Linked DNA regions of Notamacropus eugenii. The protein of the gene in region 1 interacts with the protein of each later gene in a pairwise test. Links are inferred from orthologs where the notes say so. Each region holds a gene or a part of one and is shown on either strand. Other genes may lie near its edges.

What was found. The genes of interacting proteins can lie anywhere in the genome.
Region 2: the proteins of NIF3L1 (region 1) and DMRTB1 interact in a two-hybrid assay, tested with the Homo sapiens proteins (2 studies listed by BioGRID and IntAct). The two-hybrid records come from large-scale screens. The link is inferred for Notamacropus eugenii from reciprocal best matches to the Homo sapiens genes NIF3L1 and DMRTB1.

The regions. Positions count from the first base shown.
Region 1 is NC_092877.1:297,045,612-297,053,090, forward strand, and holds the start of NIF3L1 (NIF3-like protein 1), read left to right. Parts: upstream 1-4,407; 5' UTR 4,408-4,542; exon of another isoform or gene 4,543-4,938; intron 4,939-5,496; exon of another isoform or gene 5,497-5,528; intron 5,529-7,479. Other genes in the region: PPIL3 (peptidyl-prolyl cis-trans isomerase-like 3), read right to left, coding at 1,688-1,690. UniProt on the Homo sapiens protein: May function as a transcriptional corepressor through its interaction with COPS2, negatively regulating the expression of genes involved in neuronal differentiation.
Region 2 is NC_092873.1:513,648,823-513,656,874, reverse strand, and holds the start of DMRTB1 (doublesex- and mab-3-related transcription factor B1), read right to left. Parts: upstream 3,103-8,052; 5' UTR 2,994-3,102; coding exon 2,042-2,993; intron 323-2,041; coding exon 105-322; intron 1-104.

The sequences.
Region 1 (7,479 bases):
CTCAGTTTAAAGTTCAAACTCTTTCATAACATGGCCCTTTCTTACTTTTCCAGTTGTCTTACACTCTGCTCCTCCACCTGATGACACTGGCCTCGCCAATGCTTCTCAGAGACACGTCCTCCTCCTGGCCCTGGGCATTTTCACTAACCCTCACTCCTAGAATTCTCTCCCTCCCCATCTGTGCTTCCTGGCTTCCTTCAAGTACCAGCTAAAACCCCACTTTCTACAAAAAGCCTTTCCCAATCATCCTTAATGCTAATGCCTTCCTCCTGCTGAATATCTCTGATTTATCCTGTATATCTCTTTCCCCATCAGACTATGAGCTTCTTCAGAGCAGGACTGTTTTTAGCTTTTCACTTAACAAAGTGCCTGACATACAATAGGTGCTTAATAAATGTTTCCTGACCAATTTGTTTTACTTGGGGAATACACAGTCACCTTCCTACTTTCCCTTCTCCCCCATGATGTTTTTTGATCCTCTTTTCCCCAAAGCCTGAAGGAGCAGACAGGAGGAAGAAGGGCCCCATGTATACAGGTACCATTCTTCCGCCCCCTTCAGGGCCCACTTTGGAATTATCTGAGCCAAAACAAAAACTCCACAATTAAAATTGTTATAACTTACTATTATATTTTCTTCCCCTCCAATTCCCTCTTTCTATCCCAACCTGCTACAAATATAAATAAATATTTTGTAGCTTTTTAATTCTGGAAAGGAAAAAAATTAAGGAAAAATTGAAATAGTTATAGAAAGTTTAAATACTGCTACTGCCTAAAAGCACTCTATTCTTGCCCCATTCACATTCTTTCATTTTTCTTCTCTTTAATGATCTACTTTTCATGAAAATATATAACTAGAGTTGCCAGTTTTATCCCTATAAAAACAATCAGCAATACATAAACCATTATGCCATTCCATTGAACATGGTAGGCTGAAAATATCTGGATATTCAAAACTCTATCCACAAGAGTGGACCAGTGACCATGTTAAAGTTCTGTAGAGTCACAAAATCAAATCAAAAGGATGAAAGTGTTAAGTTTTGAGCTAGAAATGACAAAAAGGGCCCCTAGCTAAACAAAGCTTCCACAATCATTCAAGTAAGTCCTAAATAAGAGAACAGCCAAATCCTAAAAATGGCCAAAATGAATGTTGCTTAAAGAATAGGGGAAAATAGAAGGGAACTCTCATGCTCTGAAATAACCAGAGGATCAAAAACTGTGACCACTCTGTGCTAGAAGGTTAAAAATAACACACAGAATTTAACTTTGCACAAAATGCCTACATGCCTCGGAGAATGGAATTTTCTAATAAAAATATGCACATTTACAGCAAACAACATTAAAAAGTATTCCTCGTGTGTCAAGCCTAGTCAGATGCCCATTTTGTCTGTTTCTATCCTAGCTCTGTTAAAAAGCATGAAGTCTTTCTCCAAAGCCCAATTCAATTATATACCAAAGGCAGTTATCAAAAAAACAAAATAGAGTTTAAATAAACTAAGACCAGTAAGATTAAGCCAGCTGAATTAAATAACCTCTGAGGTTCCATTTAGGCTCCTTAGGCTCTAAAACGACTATAATTCTACTAGTTTCAAGGTTCTAGTTTTAGAAGAAATATTTTAATGCGTCTGAACTTTTTAAGTTAAAAGTTATAAAGAAAGAAAAACTTTCTTAAGGAATCTATGAAACTCACCATCCTGCTACTTGAGGATTTCAGGCAGTCCGAAAGAAAGCTGAAAAGGGGAAAGAGTTTACAAACTTTTCATTCCTTATTTTATTCAAATATATCTATTTAATCTAAACAGTACATTTACAACAATTCTAGTGGGTCATGGTTAGAGGGAGAGAGCAGCAGATGCAAACAAAAGACCACAGGCAAGAAAGGGAGCTTGCTTTGAAAGCTATCCTCCAAAGCCAATGCCACTACACCTTTCCTTTATTTGCTTTATTATGTGAGCCAGTTGTGTTTGTGTTTATGCATATACATGTGCATGTGTCCCCAAAGAAAGCCACTGTTAATAAAGATTCCCTTTAAAGGAAATAATTTTGCTTTATCTCTTTTCCTTTCCTTTCCTATCAATTTTCTTTTGTTCCAGGTCTGTGATCTCTTGGTGTAAGTAGCTTCCAAGTGAGGAAATTCCCTCTATTCTATCCATAATTGTTCTCCAATTTATTAATCACAAAGCATTTATTAAGCACCTACTATGTGTTAGGCACTGTGCTAGGTTCAGGGGATATAATTCTTGCCCTTAAGTTTATATTCTATTGGGTAAGATAGCATATGCACATATAAGTGTAGGAACAGGGAAAGGGACTTGCCCGGTTATTTCACTGCTCTAGGGAATTGCTGGGTGAGGAAAAGCTCTATTCACACAGGTTAGCACTTTCTCTGTTTCCAGCACAGGGAAGCGAAATCTCTAACCACCAAGTTATCTGATGTCTGGTATAAACATATATACATATGGGGATCAGGAAAGGCCTCAGGCAGGAGGTACTGTTGAATTTTTAAGGAAACCAAGAAAACCATGTATGAGAGTTTCCAGGTACACCAAGGAGCTAAATGACTTGCCCAAGGTTACACAGCCAATATGGCAGCAGCAGGATTTGAACCCAGGTCTTTCAGAGGCTGACTTTCAATACACTATACCAGAGGATTTCAAATGTGGTCCTGTGGACCCTGGGGTTCCTTATGACATTTCAAAAGATTTTGCAGTATCAAACTATTTTCATAGTAACACAAAGATGTTATTTGCCTTTTTCCCTCTCATTCACTCATGAGAATACAGTGGTATTTTCCAAAGGCCACATGACCTGTCAATTAAAGTTTAGCTGCAAATGCAAAAACTGTTAATATCTTGTCTGGAAATTTGTACTTACACCTGCCACCGTGAGCTTGACAAATTTCCAATTCTTAACTCCAGTGACATTAATGATTTAAGCTTGTTACATAGTATGATGAACTAGGTCAGCATGGAGAAGATCTGCATACCTTACTGAACCAATACTTTCCAAATGACCAATTTATGTGTTACAAAATCTTGGGTAAAAGATCCATTTAAAGTATAAGATTCAACCAATGGATTTTAACGGAGCACTGTTCCAAAAGGTCACATATGTGGTTTTAGATTCCTCATTGCCACTAACCTTTAAGAAACTACCACGTGACCACTTTTGGTACAGCATCAAAGACATCTGGAAAGGCCATTTAAAAAAACTCCCTTTTCCAACTACATATTTGCATGAGACTGGGTTTTCTTCACATACTTCAACTGAAAAAGACATATTACAAAAAATTGAATGCAGAAACAGACAGAAGGATCCAGCTGCCTTCCATTAAGCCAGAAACTAAAGGGATATGCAAAAATGTAAAACATGGTCATGCTTCTCACTAATACTTTCTTGTTCTGGAAAAGTTATTTTTTAAGGTTAATTATATTCACATCTAATAATTTTACTATTACTTTAAAAACAAGAAATATTTTAAACATTTTCTCAGTTTTAATTTCTAATGCTGTATATCAGCAATAGCTATAACCCACCTAAAGGCAGTTTGGGGTCCAGAGACCAAAACATGGGAGAACCACTGCTCCTCAGATACACCAAAACCTCTCTAAATACGAGTTTGACTTTAAAGGAGTAGAGAAAAACCAGCCCTTCATCCAGACTGGATCCCCACTACAGCTCACTCCTAAACACGTGATTGTTTACAATGAAGGAACGCCCCCGCCGGTTCTTTCCCTTTCCACTCCCAAACTGTCCTTTTGGGATAAGCCACTGTTTACTTGTTTGATGATTCCGGGATATCTGGTACTCCAGGGGGTCAGGGTTCCACCAGCGGAGGTCGGTGTAAAACACAGGCAGGAAAGGGATGCGTTTCTACTCCTTCCGGCGCCCAGGACGGAGTAAGCTTGGGACAGCGGCCTGGCTAAATCCTCGCTGCCCCGGCCCACGCCCTCAGGACTCATCTCGGTCCTCAAATGCCAGCCGAAAGGCGGGCAGTGCTGACGGCCGCGATACGGGCATGGAGGCGGGAGAATCAGAGTGACAGGACGCTGAGACTACGGCGCCACCATCAAGTGCTCCGCTACAGTAGTGGTAGTTACTACTTACTAGTAAGTGCTTCCAACCGCAGGAGGAGTCGTCGCTCTCCTAGGGCCCTCCTCCCCGAGGTGGCCCACCCATCCCCACTCAGGAAAGCCGGGCTCTCGGAACCTCCCTCCGGCCTCCTCAGGCTACGGAACAAACGCTAAGACTTCGCGCTTAAAACGCGGGAACTAGAGGCCAAGTCTCGAGCGGAAGGAAGGGGCACGAAAACGAAGTTCCTCCTCCCCTCGCTGTGCCTCTGCGCAGGCCTCTCGGCCTCCCGCTCTCTTCTCCCCGCTCCGTCCCTAACCCGCAGCCTTCCTCCCTAGGTTCACCTCACGGCTGCAGCACTTCCAAACACGAACGGCGATTCTAGACCCCAAACGAGCGGACCGGAAGAGAGTAAGGCCGACGCACAAAAGGAAACGGGCCACTTCCGCTCTGACCCCAAGGCAGCGGAAGCCCGTGAGTAGGAAGCGGAAGCGACTCCCAGGTGGGCGGGCGTAGTGAGAGCGAGGCTCAGGTCTGGTGTTCCTGTCCTGTCGCGTTCTGTCTGCGGCCTTGGCGACGGGTCCTGTAGGAGTTTGGGTGCAGCCTAGGCTTCCATTCCTAGTCTCCTGAGGCTAAACTGCAAAACTTTCAGGAGACCTTCGAGGCGAAGCTTCTCTTCGTAGAAAAGGCTAAACTGAGGCCAGGAGCTGCCCTAGGTTACGGGGGGAGGGGCAGGGGCTTCTCGGCCCGGACCTGATTAAGAAAGGACGCCGGGAAGGCAAAAGGCTGGGACGACTGCCCAGGGGACCGCGGCCGCCGCTGCCGCCCCTGACGAAGAGACCGCTTCAGAGGGTTCGAAAGTGCCTTTTGGTTTGTTAAGATATGCGTAGATGTATATATTCAATATAAGTTGTTGACGTTGCGCAGTGATGCCGGTTTGGTTCTTTTTCCCCTATTGGTTTTATGTGGGCTTTGGGATGATCCGAGTTCAAGCCTTGCCTTTAACACCTAACTTGTTTTATGAGGCAGAACTGAGTTCAGATCACGTCCTCATCCCAGGGTTGTTGTGTGGATAAAACGAGTAAGATTTGTGAAGTGAGTGCATGCTGGCTTGAGCTCGTGTGCCTCGCATAAAGTTAGGCGCTTACTGCTACGATGATTGAATTTAACAGCCGCTTTATCTCGGCGTCCCAGGCCACACAAGACTATATATATATACTATAAAAAAGTTGCAGATCAGCAGCAGTGGAGGGAGTTCCCAACATCAGTTTACCCATACTCTTGAGATCATGTTCCTAAAGGAGAAAAAGGAATAGCTGGGGGGGTTTTTAGTCCCTGGAAATCAAGCACTTAACAAATAGCTCAAGAGGGGAAAGGTTCTTTATGGCTGATTCTTAGAATCTTTACCCTCTTGTCAGGAATTGGATATGAAATTAATTAATTACAACTGAGGAAACAAGGTAATTTATCAGAGGGTATTTCACCAATATGCAGTTCTTTTATTGTGTTCAGGGACATATCGCTAAGCTTTTCTCTCAGGAGAAAAGTAACTTCCTGAAAGACACTTTTTGATGCTTTCTATATTCTTCCACTCGATGCTTTTTATATTTCACTGCTTTCACATTCTACTTTGTCTTATATTTGAACATCTAAATGTCTTATTCCCTCCTTCTCCAGTGCACATTAGATTATTGTAATTATTGTAATAATGTGATCATAATATTGTAATAATTGTGATCATCAATATCTTACTCATTTTTATATCTTGTCCTATCACTGCTCTCCTTCCTCAATTAGCATTGTCCCTTATTCATAATAAAAATTTAATAAATACTTCCTGAATGAATGAATTAAATTAAATTAACTGCCTCTCTAACTAGAGTGCTTGAATGTTGTCTCCAACTACTATTTACGTTTCCTCTTTTTTTTCAACTCTTTTCAGTCTGGCTTCTAACTTCAATATTCAGCTGAAGCTAGTTAACAATCATCTCATAATACTAAAACCTTATGCCTTTCTCAGTCCTCATCCTTCCACCCTCTGCGGCATTCTCTCCCTGTTGATCATGTTTTTCTCCTATATATTCATTCATTTGTATTTTCATGACATTGATCTTGCTAAGATGGGCTCTGTCCTGAACCCTTTTCAAGTACAGATACATTGTATCTCAATCAATCAGTAAACACTTATTAAGTACTTACTTCGTGCCAGGCATTGTACTAAACACTGAGGATACAAAAAGAAGCAAAATACAGTCCCTGTCCTCAAGGACCTCACAGTCTAAAGAGGGAAAAGCATGCAAACAAATACAAAGCTAGCTGTAGATGGAATAAATAGGAAGTGATTAACAGAGGGAAGGCATTAGAATTAAGATGAGTTCGAGGTTTCCTATAGATGGTGGGATTTTAGTTGGGATTTAAAGGAAGCCCTGGAAATCAGTAGTTAAGAGTGGAGGAGGGAAAGCATTCCATGCATGGGGGACAACCAGAGAAACTTTACAGGAAGTTTCCAGATGAAGGGTCTTATTCATGCAACAGTCAGTAGGCCAGTGTCACTGGATGGAAAAGCATATGTTAGGGAGTAAGGTGTAAGAAGACTGGAAAGGTAGGAGGGGACCAGATTATGGAGGAATTTGAATGCCAAACAGAACATTCTGTATTTGGTCCTGTAGGCAATAGGAAGCCATTAGAGTGGTCAGACCTGCACTTTAGGAAAATCACTTTAATGGCTGAAGAGGATAGACTGGAATGAGGAGAAACTTGAAGCTGGCAGACCCACCATCATGCAGTAGTCCACATCTGGGGCAATAAAAATGTACCAAATTATTAGTAATGTCAGAGGAGAGAAGGGGGTTGTATTCAACAGATGTTGCAAAGGTGAAATAGATGACCCTTAGCAAGAGAATTGATGTGTTTGTAAGGGGGGGAGGTGGTGGCAGAGGTGGCAGCGAGGAAAGATAGTGAGGAGTCTAGGATGACTCTTAGGTTTTCAACTGATCTCCATCAGCAACCAAAAGTTTAATTACCCTCTGTGCCAGTGACTCTAAGATGTACATACACAGCCATGAGTCTCTCTCCTGAGCTTCAGCACTTGGAACTAGATGTACCATAGATGCCAGCTCAGATGAAACATGTCTAAAACAAGCATTTATTAAGTCTTTATGATGTGTCAATACTGTGCTGTGATATACTGGGAATACAAAGAAAATCCAAAATAGTCCCCCTGCCTTTAACAAACTTATGTTCTAAAGGAGACATGTTAAAAGAAAAAAAGGCTATTTTCAAGATACTTAAAGAATAGATAGGTGACCTTAGAAGGGAATGTTTTAGCATTTGGGGAGACTAGAAAAAGACTCCCACAAAAAGTAGCATTTGAGTATTTTGAAGGAAACCAAGGAATTTAAGAGAGAAAAA
Region 2 (8,052 bases), on another chromosome or scaffold:
CTACTTCCAAGGTCAGCCTCGGTTGTCCCAGTCCCTCCGCAAGGGAGTCATTTTCCCTAAAGTCAAATCGGGGGAAACCAGAGAATGCCCGATCCTCTACTCACCAGCAAAGAAGAAGAGGTCCCTGCTCCGTGGTTGCTGGAGACATGGCGGAAGCCCCTCTGGAGGGGTATCCCTGGGGCAGAAGCAGAACCCCGGTAGCTGCCCAGTGGGAATGGGCGGTAGTGGTACATGTTGGCATAACCAGGATACACTTTAGACTGCTCTCTCTCCAGATATTCAGGTCCCATCACGCACTCTGGGGCAATGTTGGAAGGGTGCCCTGGATAAAGACAAGAACAAGGGGAAAGACAAAAAACCCTAGTTACCTACAAATGTAGTGAAGCTCTAAGACACGGGTACTAACTATCCAAGGACAGTGTTCCTAGGGGAAATTCACTTGACACAGAGCCCAAAGTTCGTTTACAAAGCATTTTCCTCCCACTAGATCTTTGAGGCCAAAGCACCCATCACATCAGCCCCCATTTTACAGTCAAGGAAACAAGAGTCCCATCAAAGCCTGGCCCAGGGTAGCTGGGATGGGATTTGAACCCAGGCCTTCTGGTTCCAAGTCCTAGCTTTTCCAGAACATTAGGGGTTGAAATTCCCATGTATGAACTTAATAAACTGATGGCATCACAGACACTCTGGATGGTATTTAGCCTGGCGAATGGATACCCGTGTTACCTAGAGCACGAGGTCGTAGTGGAAAGGGCTTCGTGCGTATCAAAGGTCTGGTACGACTTAAGGCACTGAAGAAAAGCCCCCCTCCCCCACTACTGCGTGGGAATTGTATCAAGTTGAGCGTAGTAGACAGAGCCCGGGAGGGAGGGGGAGGGGAGAGAGGAGGGGGAGGGGGAGAGCAGGAGGAGAAAAGGAGGGGGAGGGGAGAGCAGGAGGAGAAAAGGAGGGAGAGGGGAGAGAAGAGGAGGGGGAGGGGAGAGCAGGAGGAGAAGAGGAGGGGGAGGGGGAAAGGAGGACAAAAGGAGGGGGAGGGGAAGAGGAGGGGGAGGGGGAGAGCAGGAGGAGAAAAGGAAGGGGAGGGGAGAGCAGGAGGAGAAAAGGAGGGGGAGGGGAGAGCAGGAGGAGAAAAGGAAGGGGCGAGGAGGAGAAAAGGAGGGGGAGGGGAGAGCAGGAGGAGAAAAGGAAGGGGCGAGGAGGAGAAAAGGAGGGGGAGGGGAGAGCAGGAGGAGAAGAGGCGGGGGAGGGGGAGAGGAGGACAAAGGGAGGGGGGGGGAGAGGAGGGGGAGGGGGAGAGCAGGAGGACAAAAGGAGGGGGAGGGGGAGAGGAGGACAAAAGGAGGGGGAGGGGGAGAGGAGGGGGAGAGCAGGAGGAGAAGAGGAGGGGGAGGGGGAGAGGAGGACAAAAGGAGGGGGAGGGGAGAGGAGAGGGAGAAGGGAGGGAGGGGAAGCAGCCTACCTACTACAGAGTGACCTCAGGCCTGTTTCCCAGCCTGTAAAACCAGGGGGGGCCGCTACGGTCCGGAACCTCCCCCCCCAATACCACGTTTCCAAAGCCCGGAACTGCACCGAGACACTCGCACTAAATAAACCTGCCGCCCCCCCACGCTTGGGTCCACAAAGCCGCTTTTCCGCCCCCCCCACCTCGGTTCCCCCAGCTTCATCAAGGGCAGGCTCGGTCGGGCGCCCCCCCCCCGGCCCCGCACTGCTCCCCAGGGGACGCCTCGGTCCCTGCCGTCCGGTTCGGGGGAGGGGAGGGCAGACGGCAGACAGCCATCTTTCTAACCCAATCCTCTTTTTAGAAATGGGGAAACTGAGGCCCAGAGTTTGAAGCGGCCGGCCGCAAGGCGGGGAAAGGAGCGTTTTCTGGGGGGATGGAGCGAGGGGGGCCCGGGCCGCTCCCGAGTCACCGCCGGCCCCCTCCCTAAGGCGCAGAAGCGGCCCGCACGGGGCGTCCCTCGCGGTCACTAGGCCTCGCTCCAGCCCCGGCCTCCCCTGCCCTCCGTCCCCAGGGTCCCGCGCTCCCGTCGGGGGTCCTTACCGAAGTCGCCGTAGGGAGGGCTGGCAGAGGCCGAGGTGGAGGCGCTGAGCGGCGGCGGCGGCGGCGGGGGGGGCGGCGGCGGGGCCGGCAGGGGCATGGGCATGGGCAGCGGCAGCGCCCGCCGGGGCCCGGGCTTGAAGCAGCCGTCGAAGCCCCGGGCGCTGCCCCCCGCGGCCACCTCGACCCCGGGGCCGCCCCCGCCGTTGCCCCCGGGGCCCCGCTCGAAGAGCCCCGAGGGCCCCGGCCGGGCGCTCCCGTAGGGGCCTGCGCGGCCGTCGGGGCCGGCGTCCCCGGGCCCGGGCCCGGGCATGGGCAGCGGCATGGGCAGCGGACGGGCGCAGGGCGCGGGCCCCGGGCCCCCGAGCGGCTCGGCGGGCGGCTCGTCGGGCTCGTCGCCGTCGTGCAGCTGCCTCTTGAGCACCTTCTGCGCCGCCATGATCTTCTGGCGCTCCGTGATCAGGTAGCACTTCTCGCAGCTGCACTGCTTCCAGCGGCACTTGCCCACGTGGCCCTTGACGGGCACCAGGAAGCCGTGGTTGCGGCAGCGCGAGCACTTCGGGGTGCGCAGCATCTTGTCGGCCGCCTCCTTGGGGGGCTCCGTCTTCATGGCCCCGTCGCCCGGGCTGGCGGGCGCAGACGGCGGCGGCGGCGGCGTGGAAGGAGGCGGTGCCGTCGGAGGCTCCTGGGACTGGGGCGGGGGCCCCGCGTGCCCCGAGTGGCTACACTTGTAGCAAGGCGGCGCCTCCGCAGACCACTTGCACAGCAGCCCCTTCTTCGGGTGCAGCGGCCCCTGCACCCCGGGAGCCCGCGCAGGGGAGCCCCGCGCCGCCTGCGTGCTCCTCGGGGCCGGGCAGCCCGGGCACGCGCAGGCTCCGGCCTCCTGCTCGGTCAGCGGGGGAAACTGAGGCCCGGCGCGCTCCGCCTCCGCCGCGTCCGGGCCGGAGGAGTGCATCGCGCTCACCTCCAGGCTGCGGGAGCTGGCTGCGGCATGGGGGACGTCCGGGTGGGGGAGGGGAGGGGAGGGGTGGAGCCCTCCTCCCTCTGCCAGTCTGGGCCGCGCATCCCCCTCCCCCACCCTCGGCCCAAGTTAGGAAACCTCTTCCGCCTGGGAGCTCTGGAAGGGCCCGTGAGGCGCGCACCCCAGGGGGCACGGCGGCTGGGCCCGGTGCAGAGGAGCGCGGGTGCAGGCCTCGAACCGCCCCGGCCCTCGCTAGGCTTGCCCCTCCCTGCTGTGTGGGACAGAGGCGTGGCACCAGACGGCCCCCAGGCCCTGCCCAGAGCAGCCCTGGGGCGTCCATCTTGGACCCAGAGAAGCCTTTCCGCCATCGTTACGCCACGAGCACTGAGTAGGCGCCTACGGTGTGCAGGCAGTACACATGCGTGTGTGCATGTACCTGTACGCACAGTCATACGCATGTATGTATAAATAATATGCATGAAAACATACATTTATAAAAATACGTGGCAGAGACGGAGTCGGTAAAGGAGATACAAAACTAAGATTTGCAAAGAGAGGAACGGGGCAGCTCAGGACTGGTTATCCTTTCTTAATTTTTATTATAATGTTTAGATTTAGGTTTATTTCCTCTTCTTTATTTGACTCTGTCCGTCCGTCCCTCCGTCTGTCCCTCCGTCCGTCCGTCCGTCCGTCAAGCCCGCCGAGCGCCCAGGCCTCTCAAGCGTCCGTCCATCCTCGAGCGTTATCCCCGAACATTAAAGGAATTCGAGGTCGAAATCCCTCAGCCCGGCCTGGTCCCGGCGGGAATCCCCAGGCTGAGGCCCGGCCTCGGAGCAGGGGGAGGGGCGGGGGAGGGGTGACGAGGACCCCTGCTGTTACTGGCGCTGACAGGGAGGGGGAGGGGGGCAGTGAGTGACGCTCGGGGTAGTGCTCCAGGAGGGGGGGGCCGGGGAGGGCGTCCGGCGAGAGGCAGCCCCAGGTCGGGCCCTGACCGGGCAGGGGTGTTGAGGGGGAGGCTCTAGGTCACCCCTGGCTGCCTAGCCGAGGGGACAGAGAGGATGGGCACCTTCAAGGGCAGACCCGGCCTCGCAGCATCCCTGAGCCAGGAGGGGGCCCAGAGTCTAGGCCAGCCCCTTTAGCACATCTCCCTTGGTCCTTCCCACGTGATAACAGCCCTCTGGCCTCTGGATTTCTGACTCTTTATCTACACTTTTTCCTTGTACTTCTCACCTTCTGCCTTGCATTACAAGTCCTTGGGTCCTTTATCTTATCCCATTCTTCTACCCCTTACACTGAGCAAGTCTTCCCACCTGCTGAATAAGTATTTCTTGAACTGGATTTTAATTCTTCTCATAGAAGGGTAAAATCAGAAGGTGACTTGGAAATTGGATTCCACCCTTCTTTCACAGATGAAAACTGAAGTGTGGGTAGTTTCATTTTTACCTTTGTAGCTCCAGCTTGTAGCACTCTCCACAAAGTAGCCTCTTGAATATGCTTGTTGACAGATTGATTGGCAAATTTCTCAAAACCTGAAAGTCGGTGCTGGTGGGGCTGCGAAGAAACAGGCATACTCTTTTGTTGCTGGCGGTATTGCAAACTCAGAACCTTTTCAGAATAAAACCTGGCAGTTTATAGGAAAGGTTACAAAAGTAATCATCCCCTTTGACCCAATTGTTTCTTTTTGAAAAATAAAAATAAGAGTCCCAAGATTTCCATGGCAGGACTGTGTGGCCACAAAACCAGAAAACTCCACCTGGAAGCAACCCAGACATGTGACAGTGAGGGAATGAGTGAATACATGGCGGTACCTTGGTGTAATGGGAAACTGTAAGTCAATTACATGTATGAGGATACAAGGAAATAGACAGAGAAACAGAAGAATGAAGTCCGCGTTAATTTCAGTCATCTAAGAGGGAAAGTGAATTAGTATGAATGGAGAAAGAACCCTGATAAAGATCTAGGGGGAGGGAAAGACGGACAAGTCATGATGTTTTACAGGCTGAATTTCACTTATTTAAGTTGCAAAACAAATTTAAGTTATTGCATGCATTGTTTAGGTTAAATATTAAGGGAGAGGAGCCAAACCTGAGATAATATGGATACAGGGAACTCCCAGGTAAGAAAACTCCCTCTACTCATGCAGGTCAGCATTTTCTCTGCAACTGAAGTGTTAGGAAGATGCGCGAATCCCTGAGCATTAAATGACTTGCCTAGGGTCTCACAGCCCCTTTGTGTCAGTCAGAATTTGAACCCAACATCTGAACACATCTTCCTGCTTCCAGTGCCACCTCTCTAACCACCATTTTAGTAAGTCATTTTTCCAAAATGTAAGGAAGAAGGAATTGGATGGTGAGAGAAGAAAGGATTTGCCTTCCCTCGCTACAAATTTCTCCCATGTTGACTCCATGGGTTTCAGGAAAATGTGTCATATGGCGGTGTGAATTTTCATTGCACTTGGAGAGTATTAATGAACAACTAATTAAAAGACTCCAAAATTTCAGGGTCTGAATGGGACTCTGAGCAAGTCACTTCATGCTGTTTGCCTCAGTTTCCTCATCTGTAAAATGAGCTAGAGAAGGAATGGCAAATCACTCCAGCGTCTTTGCCAAGAAAACCCCAAATGGGGTCACACCGAGTCAGACGTGACTGAAAAATGAGTGAGAAACAACAATAAAGTGTTTCACAACCAGCTTTCCCAGCAGCAGGATCTAGTTCTAATGAACCCAGCTCACCCAGTCTCTGACATTCTGAATACCCAACGCGACAGGCTTTGAAATGTCAGTCTACTCCTGTAGGAACCAATAGTGGAGTGGAAACCAGAGGACCTGGGCTTAATTCTATCTTGGGTGCCTTAGATGGGTCTTTTCTCTTTCTGGGCTTTAGTCTCCTTGTCTGGAAAATGAGAAGCCCAGACTAGATGCCCTCTAAGTCCTCCCTAGTGGGACCATTCACAGATATTTTGGAGAACTCTAGGAGGAGTTACTTCGTTTGTGATGGTCACCAGTTAAACCTGGTGTAGAGGTGAGAGCTCCAGAGTTGTGCTACCAGAAGACCTGAAATCAAATCCTGCCCTTGCTCCTTACTAGTTGAGTGACCATGGGCAAGTTCTTTAACCTCTTTTGAAGTCATCCTCTTCAACAAAACAAGTAAAATTGGGGATTCTTCATTTGGGCGTCCAAGATTGATTATTCAGTGTACTGTGTTTAAGCTGAGGGTCAGAGTGGACCAGACCTTGAGAGGTCTTTTTTCCAGCTTCAGAAAGAAAATATGTTACTCCTGAGTCTCTTCAGCTCAACATGTAGAAAAGCTTGTACCTTCATTGTGTCCCTATCCCTAGCTTACCACACCAGAGACTTTGGGAAATTTCCCCTTAGGTGAGATTATGCACTCTCTCTCTGTCTCTCTGTCTCTGTCTCTGTTTCTCTCTGTCTCTCTGTCTCTGTCTCTGTCTCTGTCTGTCTCTCTCTCTCTCTCCCCCCCTCATATCTTTGAACCTCTCTCCCCATGGGACAACTCTTTCATTCTGTGTATTATCTAGCGTACTCTCCTCTGCATAACATCTATAAGTTCTGCCTAATATTGGCTTTAATAGATGAGTTTATTTTCTATCTGCTATGTGTGCTCTCTGTGAAACTGGCATTTGGGAGGAAGGGAGATAAGCCTTGAAGTATAGATGTAGAGCTTGGATGCTTTTCCCCTATTGAAGGATAGGGATCAGAGCACAGCTTGAACCTAAACATTATTTCCCCTAGTATTTAGAGTTATAACTCTAGCCTAGTAACCCTTCTCTAAGGAGAGGAGAGTGGTCAGCCTTGTGGCCCCAATTTCCTATTCCCCTCCTGACAGGAATCAAAGTCTTCCTTAGGGAAGGGTGGGTGGAAAAGACCCCAGAGATATCTATTCACATCTCCCTGAAAGTCACACTAGACAGACTGATGTGGAAACACATAATCTAAATGGGCAACGCACACATGCCCTCCCCTCAGAACAGATGCCCCCTGAGGACAGGGACAGTTTTTCCTTTCTTAGCATCTTTTGCACTACAAGGAAATAAAATAAAGTCAATGAAATATTTCTAAAGTATTTCACAGAAGAGAGCAGCAGAAAGTTCAGAAGGATACAGAAAAGCAAGGCACTATTCAAATTATCATAGATTTGTTTTTTGGTTTTAAAACAAAAGTTTTATAGTTTTCATATTTTAATTTATATTATGTGTTTATAAATATATTTATTAAATGTTATATATAAATAATATATAAATATTGAAAACTATAGTTTTTATAGTTTTCAAGCAAAAGTCACCGTCTGTGACAGATTCAAGGTTTCCTGCTCTTTGTTTATGGAAATGAATGTTTGTTAATGTTCCACAAGTTCACAACAAAAAAAATAAAGTTTTGCAAAAAAAAAAATGCATTTTCTTGCAAGCTGTTTCTTCTTTCACGACATAACTAATATGGAAATAGATTTTATATCATTGCATGTGTAGCCTATATCAGATATGTATGACCTAAATTAACCCTATGATCAAAGTCTCCTTAGGTGAGATCGCGCTCTCTCCCTCTCTCTCTCTCTCCCTCTCTCTGTCTCTCTCTCTCTCTCTGTGTCTCTGTCTCTGTCTCTGTCTCTGTCTCTGTCTCTCCCTCTCTCTGTCTCTCTCTCTCTCTCTTAGTCTTAGTGAGCGGGGAGAGAGAAAATTTGGAGCTCAAAATTTTATAAAGATGAATGTTGAAATTGTCTTTATATATCATTGGAAAAAATAAAATACTATCAATTGGTGAAAAAACCCCAAAATTTTTTAAAAAGAGAAAATTTGCACACACAAAAAAAGCAGATCCCCTCTTGGATTGAAAGGATGGACCCATGTGACCCGCTGAGGGCTTTTTGGTGCCCTGCATCATGTCCCATACTGGCTAAGGAGGGATGATGGGGTTTGACCAAGTAATAAAAATAGTCAGCATTTATGTAGTACCTACGATGTATCAGGCACTATGCTGATAATTTTACAATAGCACTGGGAAGTAGATGCTGCTATTATCCCTGTTTTACAGTTGAG